3 linked regions of the Saccharomyces cerevisiae S288C genome follow. The gene in region 2 interacts genetically with the main gene of each other region. Each region holds a gene or a part of one and is shown on either strand. Other genes may lie near its edges. The genes, in order: TLG2, PKR1 and ARL1.

Evidence for each region.
Region 1: mutations in PKR1 (region 2) and TLG2 together harm fitness more than expected from each alone (negative genetic interaction), as found in Saccharomyces cerevisiae (5 studies listed by BioGRID, with this or other methods).
Region 3: mutations in PKR1 (region 2) and ARL1 together harm fitness more than expected from each alone (negative genetic interaction), as found in Saccharomyces cerevisiae (5 studies listed by BioGRID, with this or other methods).

The regions. Positions count from the first base shown.
Region 1 is NC_001147.6:290,365-294,023, forward strand, and holds TLG2 (t-SNARE syntaxin TLG2), read right to left. Parts: upstream 1,711-3,659; coding exon 517-1,710; downstream 1-516. Other genes in the region: TOS7 (Tos7p), read left to right, coding at 1-189; ESC8 (Esc8p), read left to right, coding at 2,165-3,659. UniProt on the Saccharomyces cerevisiae protein: t-SNARE that functions in transport from the endosome to the late Golgi and on the endocytic pathway.
Region 2 is NC_001145.3:511,622-514,480, forward strand, and holds PKR1 (Pkr1p), read left to right. Parts: upstream 1-1,971; coding exon 1,972-2,340; downstream 2,341-2,859. Other genes in the region: EPO1 (Epo1p), read left to right, coding at 2,835-2,859. UniProt on the Saccharomyces cerevisiae protein: Functions together with the other V-type ATPase assembly factors in the endoplasmic reticulum to efficiently assemble the V-type ATPase membrane sector V(0).
Region 3 is NC_001134.8:567,293-570,024, forward strand, and holds ARL1 (Arf family GTPase ARL1), read right to left. Parts: upstream 1,135-2,732; coding exon 583-1,134; downstream 1-582. Other genes in the region: EXO5 (Exo5p), read left to right, coding at 1-188; UBS1 (Ubs1p), read left to right, coding at 1,560-2,393; TYR1 (prephenate dehydrogenase (NADP(+))), read right to left, coding at 2,550-2,732. UniProt on the Saccharomyces cerevisiae protein: Recruits golgins such as IMH1 to the Golgi. Can bind and hydrolyze GTP. May be involved in trafficking events within the endosomal system.

The sequences.
Region 1 (3,659 bases), on a different chromosome or scaffold from region 2:
TTCAACGTTGCCCCAAACCAAGTGCCACAGCACAGAAATCCGGTACCAGGCGTCGGTTTTGCTCCGAATCCTTTACCAAACCAAAGCCCGATAACACAAGGATATAAGCCTGCCTATAAGAGGAGAATGCAAAACAAAAACTTGCCCCGAGCTACTACTTCACTGAACAATCCTTACGGATTTAGGTAAAAAAAGAAAAATGAAGGTTCTTTTTTTTTTTTTATATTCTACAAATCACAATAACCACCAACTTGTATTAAACCATATTTTATCATCTTCAGGAACTACTTATGCACAATATTCGTTCGCCAGTCTTTACTTGCGGTTCAATTTTATCCCATATAAATTTGTATTTTATTATCATACTACATACTTTATTGAAATCATATATTAACCTTTTCACTTTTCTCAAATAGAACGAGCAACAGGTCATATGAACGCTGACTAAATCTCTCAATTTTCTTCAAAGCATATTATAGTTCAAAATCGCGATGCGGTACCGTGAAAGTTTTGTCATCAAAGTAGGTCATCCAAAGCATCATTCTCAGATTCTGTTACTTCAACGATACTCGGCAAGTTGCTCTCTTCGTCATTAATATGGGTATTACTGCCGTCATCATGACTGTTATTAACTGTTTTATTATCATCATTGTTGTACTTGTTGCTACCATTATTACGACCACCACTGCCACCGCCATGTGGTTTCAACATAACAAAGAAAAAGAGCGCTATTACGCACAATGTTAGTAATAAAATGACTTTACATTTTTGAGTTCTCTTCTGGTAGTGTGTTGCTTTATTCAACTCTTTATCTGCACTTTTTAGCTCTACCACTGTATTTTCCAGATTATAATCAATCCTGTCCACAATAGTCCCCTGGTCAACAACCAAATCTTGCATTTCCCTGAAAATAGTGCTCACTTCTAATACACCCCTTGCCAACTGAGTAATTTCTTCGTCACGTTCTCTCAAATATGCTTCTGCAGAAGTGTCATGAAGCTGTTGCTGTCTCTGCAACGTCCTTTTTGAATAGTCTTCAATATCGAGGCCCTCTCTCTTCTCTCTTGCTGCCTCCTCTTCCTCATCATCTAATAATAGCGTGTTCTCTGCACTGGCCTTATTGCGGATAGGTTTCAAATCATCCTTGTTCAAGAATTTCAAGTAATTATTTTGTAATACTCTGAACTTATTACTTTCAGTTTGTATCTTTTCTGCATAGATCTTCTGTAGATTATCTAGTATAATCAGCTCTTCTCGACTTAATTGCTTACCATCCACAAATTGAGAGTTGTATATGGTCTTTAATCGTTTCATAACAGCGTAACATTTCTGCAGCATCTGAATTACTTTGAAACTTAGATCTTCAATCAGCGCCTCATCATGACTCTTGTCTTCAAAGCCAGGTAACGAATTCTTCCTATAAACCTTCGCCAACTGCTCACTTAACCGTCTCACCTCCAGAAGATAATCATCAACATCCTGCGCTATATCAATAAATATGGGTGGTAACGCATCACTGTGATTCTCATGCTTGTTTTTTCGTTCATCTGTCAATCTGGCCGATATATCGTGAGACATATTCATCATCGGGTATGTACCCATTTCAATATCTTGATCATCGCCCAAGGGTGCTTTCCCAGATGAGAAAGTTATGTTATGAGGGAAAGTCCTACGGTATGATAAAAATAAATTAGTTCTATCTCTAAACATGTTTGTAACGACTGCCTAGATCACAAAGCGATAAAATGTACATCAATTGGAGACTTTCCTGTCTTGCCGTACTTATAGTCTATTCTGCTATAATCTATACGCACTCACTTTACACCTTAAAAGCCCAATACAAACCGGTCCAACAATTATAATTCATCTATAGGGCATATACAAAAAAAAAAGGTAGGTGTAAAAGATAATAAAATACAACCCTATTAGCTTTGATAAAAAATTAGTAGGGTTAGAATGTCATATGGTAGGGTGATATAAACGCGTGAACTTTACGCGTTTATATGTACTAAGTTATTTTCGGTATTAGAGAATACCATATCAACGACTAACTCTTAAGCTTTCGATTGTATGAGCTGAAGAAACGGCCTGCTCATTACCAGGATATCTCTTTTTTTTAGACATCAAACAAGAAAATAAGGAACAAGAAATTTGAGGTACAATAATGACAGAAATTATTGATTTAGACTTGGTCGATGACTTTATCAAGAAACCTATGGTCAAACAACAGAAAAACCAGTCTTCAAAGCCTAGGGTAAAAAGAAGGGGTCAGTTGACCTTTGATGATTTCAGAAACATCAAAATTGTAGAAGAACCTGTTGTACTTTCTCACAATAGTTCAATTGACGAATCACTGGATGCTGCTACCCAAAATACTAAAAAGCGGGAGAAATATGAAGGTACCTGTGATGAAGAAATGAAAACTAAAGAAATGGAGGCAAATATGGCAAGCAAATATTCTAATATCAAAACACATTCGAACGACACTAACAAGGTAGAGTCGATCAGTGAACACACTACTTCTAATAATAGACCATTGAATACATTAAACTGGTCACCAAATATTCCTTTACGATATTCTGACTTTGCAAAGTTTATGAGTGATGAGACGGTAACGGAAAGCAATTGGGCGCCTCCCCTTTGCACCCCTCTCCCATATGCAGGCGATGTTATGAAGATCCTTTCTTTTATCGTCAAATTTAAATGGGTGTTCAGCGACGATCTACTGAACCTGTCATTTCAAGATGTGGAGATAGGACTAGAATTAAAGGTGGCTGGCCATTCTGCGAAGAATATTCGAATTTGTCAGGATAAAATGAATCTACTATTTTGCAGTCTTTTGAGGTTATTATTCTGCTCCGAGAAAAGAGCAGACAACCAAACTCATAGAAATTTCACGCTAAAAAGATTTCTTAGTTTGAAAAATCCATATGGAAAACTGGTTGGCAAACTCAGAAGCTTAATCCAGGAGTGGGGCTTACCAAAAGAATGGCGTGGTAATAGTGATATTTTATCTACTCTAAATTTTAATGGAGGTGGTTTGTTGACGATGGAACCATTAGATAGAATAATATTATTGAGATGCATGATCGATTGGAATTGTAGCTACTCCGCACTTTTCCATAATGAAATTCAAAGGCTCACTCACTTGAAAGGCGATACAGGGTTCAACCATCAAACTTTTCACGCCAGCAGGTTTGCTATGTGCGGGGCCAATAACATATTAGATAGTTGTGAAGTTTTATGCTCTTTGATGAGTCAAAAGTTGGAAAATCGAAAGAAAAGGAAGCCCAGCGACAAAGGAAAACTGAGTAAGATCAATAGTCAGATGAAATTTCTAAAGGGTGTTCGGAAATCATTGAGCGAAAAAGTAACTACAGACAGATTACGAGCTGCAGTTAAAATAAATGAAGAATGGGGTGAATATTTTGCAAACGAATTTACACACACACCAATTGATGATCCCACCGTAGACGAAATTTACAAGTTAAGGACATCAGAGTTTATGATAGCGAGAATTCCACGAGTTGGAGATTTCTACTTACCACCATTCTGGATTGGCAACGAATGCAGTTCAGTAAACACTAGTTACAGTTTCAATGACATGTCAACTTATCTTAATTACTTCGTAAAATTCAAAGAGGAGGGTACAAAAATAC
Region 2 (2,859 bases):
AACGATTGATTAACAGAAAAATTACATAAAAATCATATCATAATGGACTCGCGGTTGACGCCTAGTTAAACCAATGAAGAGGTGGGCGAACTTGTGGGAGTTATATATATTTAGGCCAATTGGGCCATTGCATGTTTCCTATAATATATTTTAATATAAAAATTTATTTATTAATACAGCAACTCATTAGATTAATCGAGTGGTGGTAAGGCTTTTTTTGCTCGCAATGCGAGCACGTGACAGAAAGTGAGAATGAACGTCTGACATTGCTAGTGTCACGTTCAGAAAACGAGAAGACGGGTAAAACAAAAATATTGATGATTGTTGGTTAGCAATATCAAATTCATTGAAGGAGGTCACAACCGCGAGAGAAAGTAAGATGTCATGTTTTTGAATATGAACCTGGAGCTCGCATATAACTCTTTCCAGTGGCACCTTTAGATTTATTTTAACTCTGAAATGTAGGTTTTTTTTTTTTTAGACAAGTCACGATAAGTAGTTGTTGTTAGCGACTTTATTCACAGCATTTTTTTATGTAGCATTTGTAGAAATAGGGGAATTATATCGGAGTACTCAAGAAACTAACGGGCTTCTGAGTAAAGGGGCTTCCCGATGTAATGGCATCCAAGGTACTTATCTAACTGATTTTTGATTGGAAGAAACATTTAGAATGCAACCTCAATTGTGGGCAATTACGACCAATGACAGCCAAATCCAGTAAGGTTTCAAAGGGATAATTTACTGAGAAAACAGATTTACTATTCTGGAGGCAGGAGTGATATATTCTTATTCTTCCTATCCATGGGAATAACGATGCACTTTTTTATGGGTAAGGTGTGCTCCCAGTTTTTCTTACCAAGAAGTGTGCAATTGGTACGGTAATATCGTATTTGTTTGCACTGATGTACCCACGCTTTAGCCATTTAAGTTATTACGAATCTACTCTGTCTATTTTTTTTTTACCAACTCCCTACCCAGAGGGAAAATGCGTATGCAATCTAAAATACTTTATTTCCCATTCCGTGCCTTAGGCAAACACAAATGGATTTTGGCTGCATACCGAGGGGTCTAGGTGGTGATGAGGTCGCTACAACCCAGGATGGTTATCTCGTTTCTTCGAATTTCCGCAGCAAAGAGGACCCTTATTGCAGGGATGGAACCTTTTCTGCACAAAGCAAAATCCTCAGGATGTTTCTCTCCTCTGTCTTTCTTTGCCGAGCTCCATCGTGCTAGCGCATCGGACAGGAAGCAGTGAAATACAAGAAAAGTATACAAGCAGTATTCCTGCTCAAGAACCCAGTTTTCAGTTATAGTTTCCACTCCTTTCAATAGATGGGAAACTATATATCCATTAACTAAAATGGCCAGTCAGACTATCTCTTCTCCTCACTAGTGCCTAATCTCTGGTGTCGCCACTCCTGCTGCTGCTAATTATAAGGGCAAAGTCAGACCATCACTTACATTGAGGTGAATATTAAAACCAGTGAAGGTTCTGTTTTTCTCGGGAGTATTTCCGGCAGTAACACCGTTACTTATACCAAAGAGAATTTTTCTGTTGGTATGATTACTGACCCTGTCTGCTCGAAGCACGGTATCATCATTTACCGTTGTTTCTTTCGTCCTAGATATCGGTGTCTCAGAAACTCCAATTGAAGATGTACAGGTGATTAATTACGTCTTTTTATCAATCTATTTACCTATATATTTCAATTTTGATTTTTATTTGGCGAGTGACATGTGAAAACTTTGCCTATGAACCTGAATAGCGCATTCATATTTTAAGAACATGGTAGGGTATAGCAGATGTTCTTTAATTTTCTTTGACTGCGTTTACCCGGCGTTTTTTGCTTGACTGAAAATCAAATGAAGAAAAATAGAGATGGTCTTTTCTTTTTGTCATATCCAAGAACACGTCCATCTAATTGATTAGTGCCAAAAATCGCAGGGATATAACTTCGAAAATTTCTCAAAATGGCCAATTTTTTTGTTAGACTGTGGGAAAGTGTATTTGAACCAGGGACCTCCCCCCAGCTGATCATCGCCACACACGTATCTTTTGTTGCACTACTACTGACCCTCATCTGGCTCATCTATGCCACAAACGGGAATATCCACTTCTATGCTCTTTTCTGTATATCACTTTTACTATGGATTACCGTTATCTGGTTTATAAACGAATTATCACACGTCAAATTGAAGGATAATGATGAGCTGGATAAAGATGCCAATAAAAAGGACGACAGTGCCATCAAGGAAGACAGCGAAGACAAGCAAGAAAGCGGGAAATCCACTAGTACTGCCAGACGGACTCAAGCACAATCTAGGTCAAGAAAAGCATAGACAGATACATAATTGACTACATAATTATCTCTGTTATTAGTATATCACAGAGCTTCCGGGTAAATGTCCGCAATTGTAAATTTTTTTGTCCGCTTCAGGGTCTCCCCTGATATTTTTTTTTTTTCAAAAATTCCTTTTTTTTAAATCAAATTTTGGGCTCAATTATGGACAAATGAAGCACATGCAAAGAGTTAACGCGTGCGACTGAATAGAACAACTCTTTCAGCATCGCAAACCCTTCAAATTGTGAATAAATAGGCATTTCAAGTAACTGTGTCAGCAGCACATTGCATAGGAATTCTGATTTTTTGTTTTAGTGACTGCCCTCCTAATTTTTTTTTTTTTAGTTTACGGCTATAGCTAAATTTGGAGCTTTCTTTCATTAATTTTCACCGAGCTATTAATAACCCTACAAAAAGAGCAGAGAGGTACAGCCTGATCCGATAAAGCAGTGGGATAAAAAGTACTCAAAGACTATTTATAAAAAGTTCAAAATGGATGCAGGTTTATCGACCATGG
Region 3 (2,732 bases), on a different chromosome or scaffold from region 2:
ATTCTGCAATGGTTTGGTTTGGTGGCAGAGATATGCATCCAATTGAGCCTACTCAAAAAAACTTCAACACATACTGTAAGTTTTGTGACTACAGACACGTTTGTTCTTGGAAAAATAAAAATGAATTGAAACTTATTGATCTAGGGAAAGAATTAAAAAAAATTATTCTTGAATCAAGTATGAAGTAGTGTAGGTATTGTAACATTATTTATTCTAGTTATTAAAAGGGTGTTGTTTCGTGAATACATTGAAGTCCTTTATTGGGTTATTAAGCACATAAATCTGTTTCTGCTTTCGGACGTCCTGTTTCAATAAATCGGAATTGAAATGACAATTTAATTTAAATGTATATATGCAACTTTCATTAAGAGGTCATTAGGTATTTTAATGCGGCCTTCTCATTCATCGGAACGATGTAATTGCCTTTAGAATTAAAACCCAAAGAGAAACATGTATACACTTACTAACTCTATTATGTTTGGATAGAGCTCCTTGATAATTCAGTTACAAAACAAATTATATGTATATTCAATGCCATTTAAAAAGTATGCATCTACACTTTTTTTTTGCAAATCTTTATCGCTATAACTGTTCCTCTTTTATAACATCAATCAACCAATCTAAACCTTCGGTAATACCTTCGCCTTTAATTGCACTGGATGCTACGATAGACCAACTTCTGTCCTTCAATTCTACAAGATTCAGTTCTTTGGAGACTTCACTGGCACTTAATGCACCCGGTTGGTCTTGTTTATTTGCAAAAACCAGCAGTGCTGCATCTTGCAATTCTTCTTCCTGTAACATCAAATGAAGTTCCTTAGAGGCTGTAGACATACGATCTTTATCAGTCGAATCAACAACGAAAATAACTGCAGCAGTGTCTGCATAATAACACCTCCAGTAGGGCCTGATACTTGTTTGACCACCAAGATCCCAGACGTTCAATTTTAAGTTTTTATAACTTAGCGTCTCTACATTGAAACCAATGGTTGGCTTTGTAGTGACTACTTCGCCAATTTGTAAACGATATAAGATGGTAGTTTTACCTGCACCATCCAAACCCAAAATCAATATACGCAATTCTTTGTTTGAACCCCATAGTTTGTCAAACATTGAACTAAAAATGTTACCCATCTTGATCTATAACTCACTTTACTGGAACTTTCTTCTTAGATCTTTCTTTATTTTTCCTTTGGTTTTAGAAACCTTATTACTCACCGTTTCGTAAATACAAATGAACCACGCAATCCTTTACTACTTGAAAGTTCCGAGAACATTCTGCCTAATATTAATTGTCGTAAATCTAACTTTTATAGGCAAAATAGTTTTATTCAAAATTTCAATTGGAAAGGGCTCTGTTACCCGTCCTGTACGATGCAGTGGGTTTTGTTATTGTCATAAGAAATATTTAACCTACTCTTCCCATATATATCATAGAACACATTCTTAGTATGTTTTGAGAGCATCAATCTAACGTTGCCTTTGTCGTGATTTTGTGCGAGGAGGCGATATAAGAGCTAAACAGATTTTTTTATATTTTAATCAAAAAGCTAATAATTATGGCTTACTCTTTAACAAGGAAATTGCTGAAGGATTGGAAATATTTTATGCGCCATCCTGAGAAGACCCAAGGTCTTTTTCATGTAAGGCCACATGATTCAGACTTACATCTTTGGCACGTGGTAATGTACGAGCCCAGGACTTCTTTGGAAGTATATCTACTACTTTATATTGGCGGAAACGACCAGGATCCATATATCATCATGAAATGTCTGTCTCCAAATTGTTGCTTTCCAATTAACAGAACGGTTTCGATGACACACTTAAACTATCTTTTATTGAAAGACTTGGGATTACAGGATTTACTTTTCCACATATGGCAACCGCTTTTTCATATTCAAGCAACGGAAGACTTACAGTATTCACCGTCAACGGTAAAATTCAACAGGGCGTGGAATAGGATTATATATAAGGACTTTAAATCTTATTTTCCGGAACTGATAGGTACTTTACAACCAGGTGATTACTCTATAGTAAAGAGCTATTCCAAAAATCATAATATCAGCAATAGTAATGGTGGCAGTGTCAATGAATTTATGTCCTCTTACAATGCTCAAAGCCACACCTTTCACGCACAAGACAACAGCAAGAACCCTTATACTAACAGCAGCATAGGAAAGTCTAGTATGTTATCTACTCTCAACAATAATAACGTTAACAAAAGGACACATGACTACAATGCTATCGACTTTATGACCAAAAACTTACTTGCATGTGATGATGACAGTATTCATCCGGTCGTAAGTTCTAAAAGGTCAAGAACGTTGGCATGTCCAGATGAAACGAACGATAATCGCGGTAGTGAGCATTACACAAAGAGGAAAAAAATCTAATGGGTTTATTTTTACATAGAATAGTAGAACTTTCTTCCTTTTTTCACGATTTTTTGCATGGGCATTTGTCACAATATATATTTTTATTCAGTTATATAAATATACTCCTTTTCACAAAAGAAGGCCTAATATTATAGGAAATCAGCATTAAAAACATTATGTATTTCTTTTTTCAGCGGCCGAACGGTCACTAGAATGACTCAGAATGGTTTTTATCATCTCGTTGCCAATGAGATTAGCCTCTGGAAGCATTGGCTCAAAGAACTTTTGAACACTCTGAAATTGCTTTTTGTATATATCAAAATTGGCAAAAGAAACAACCGAGCTCCATTCTCTAGC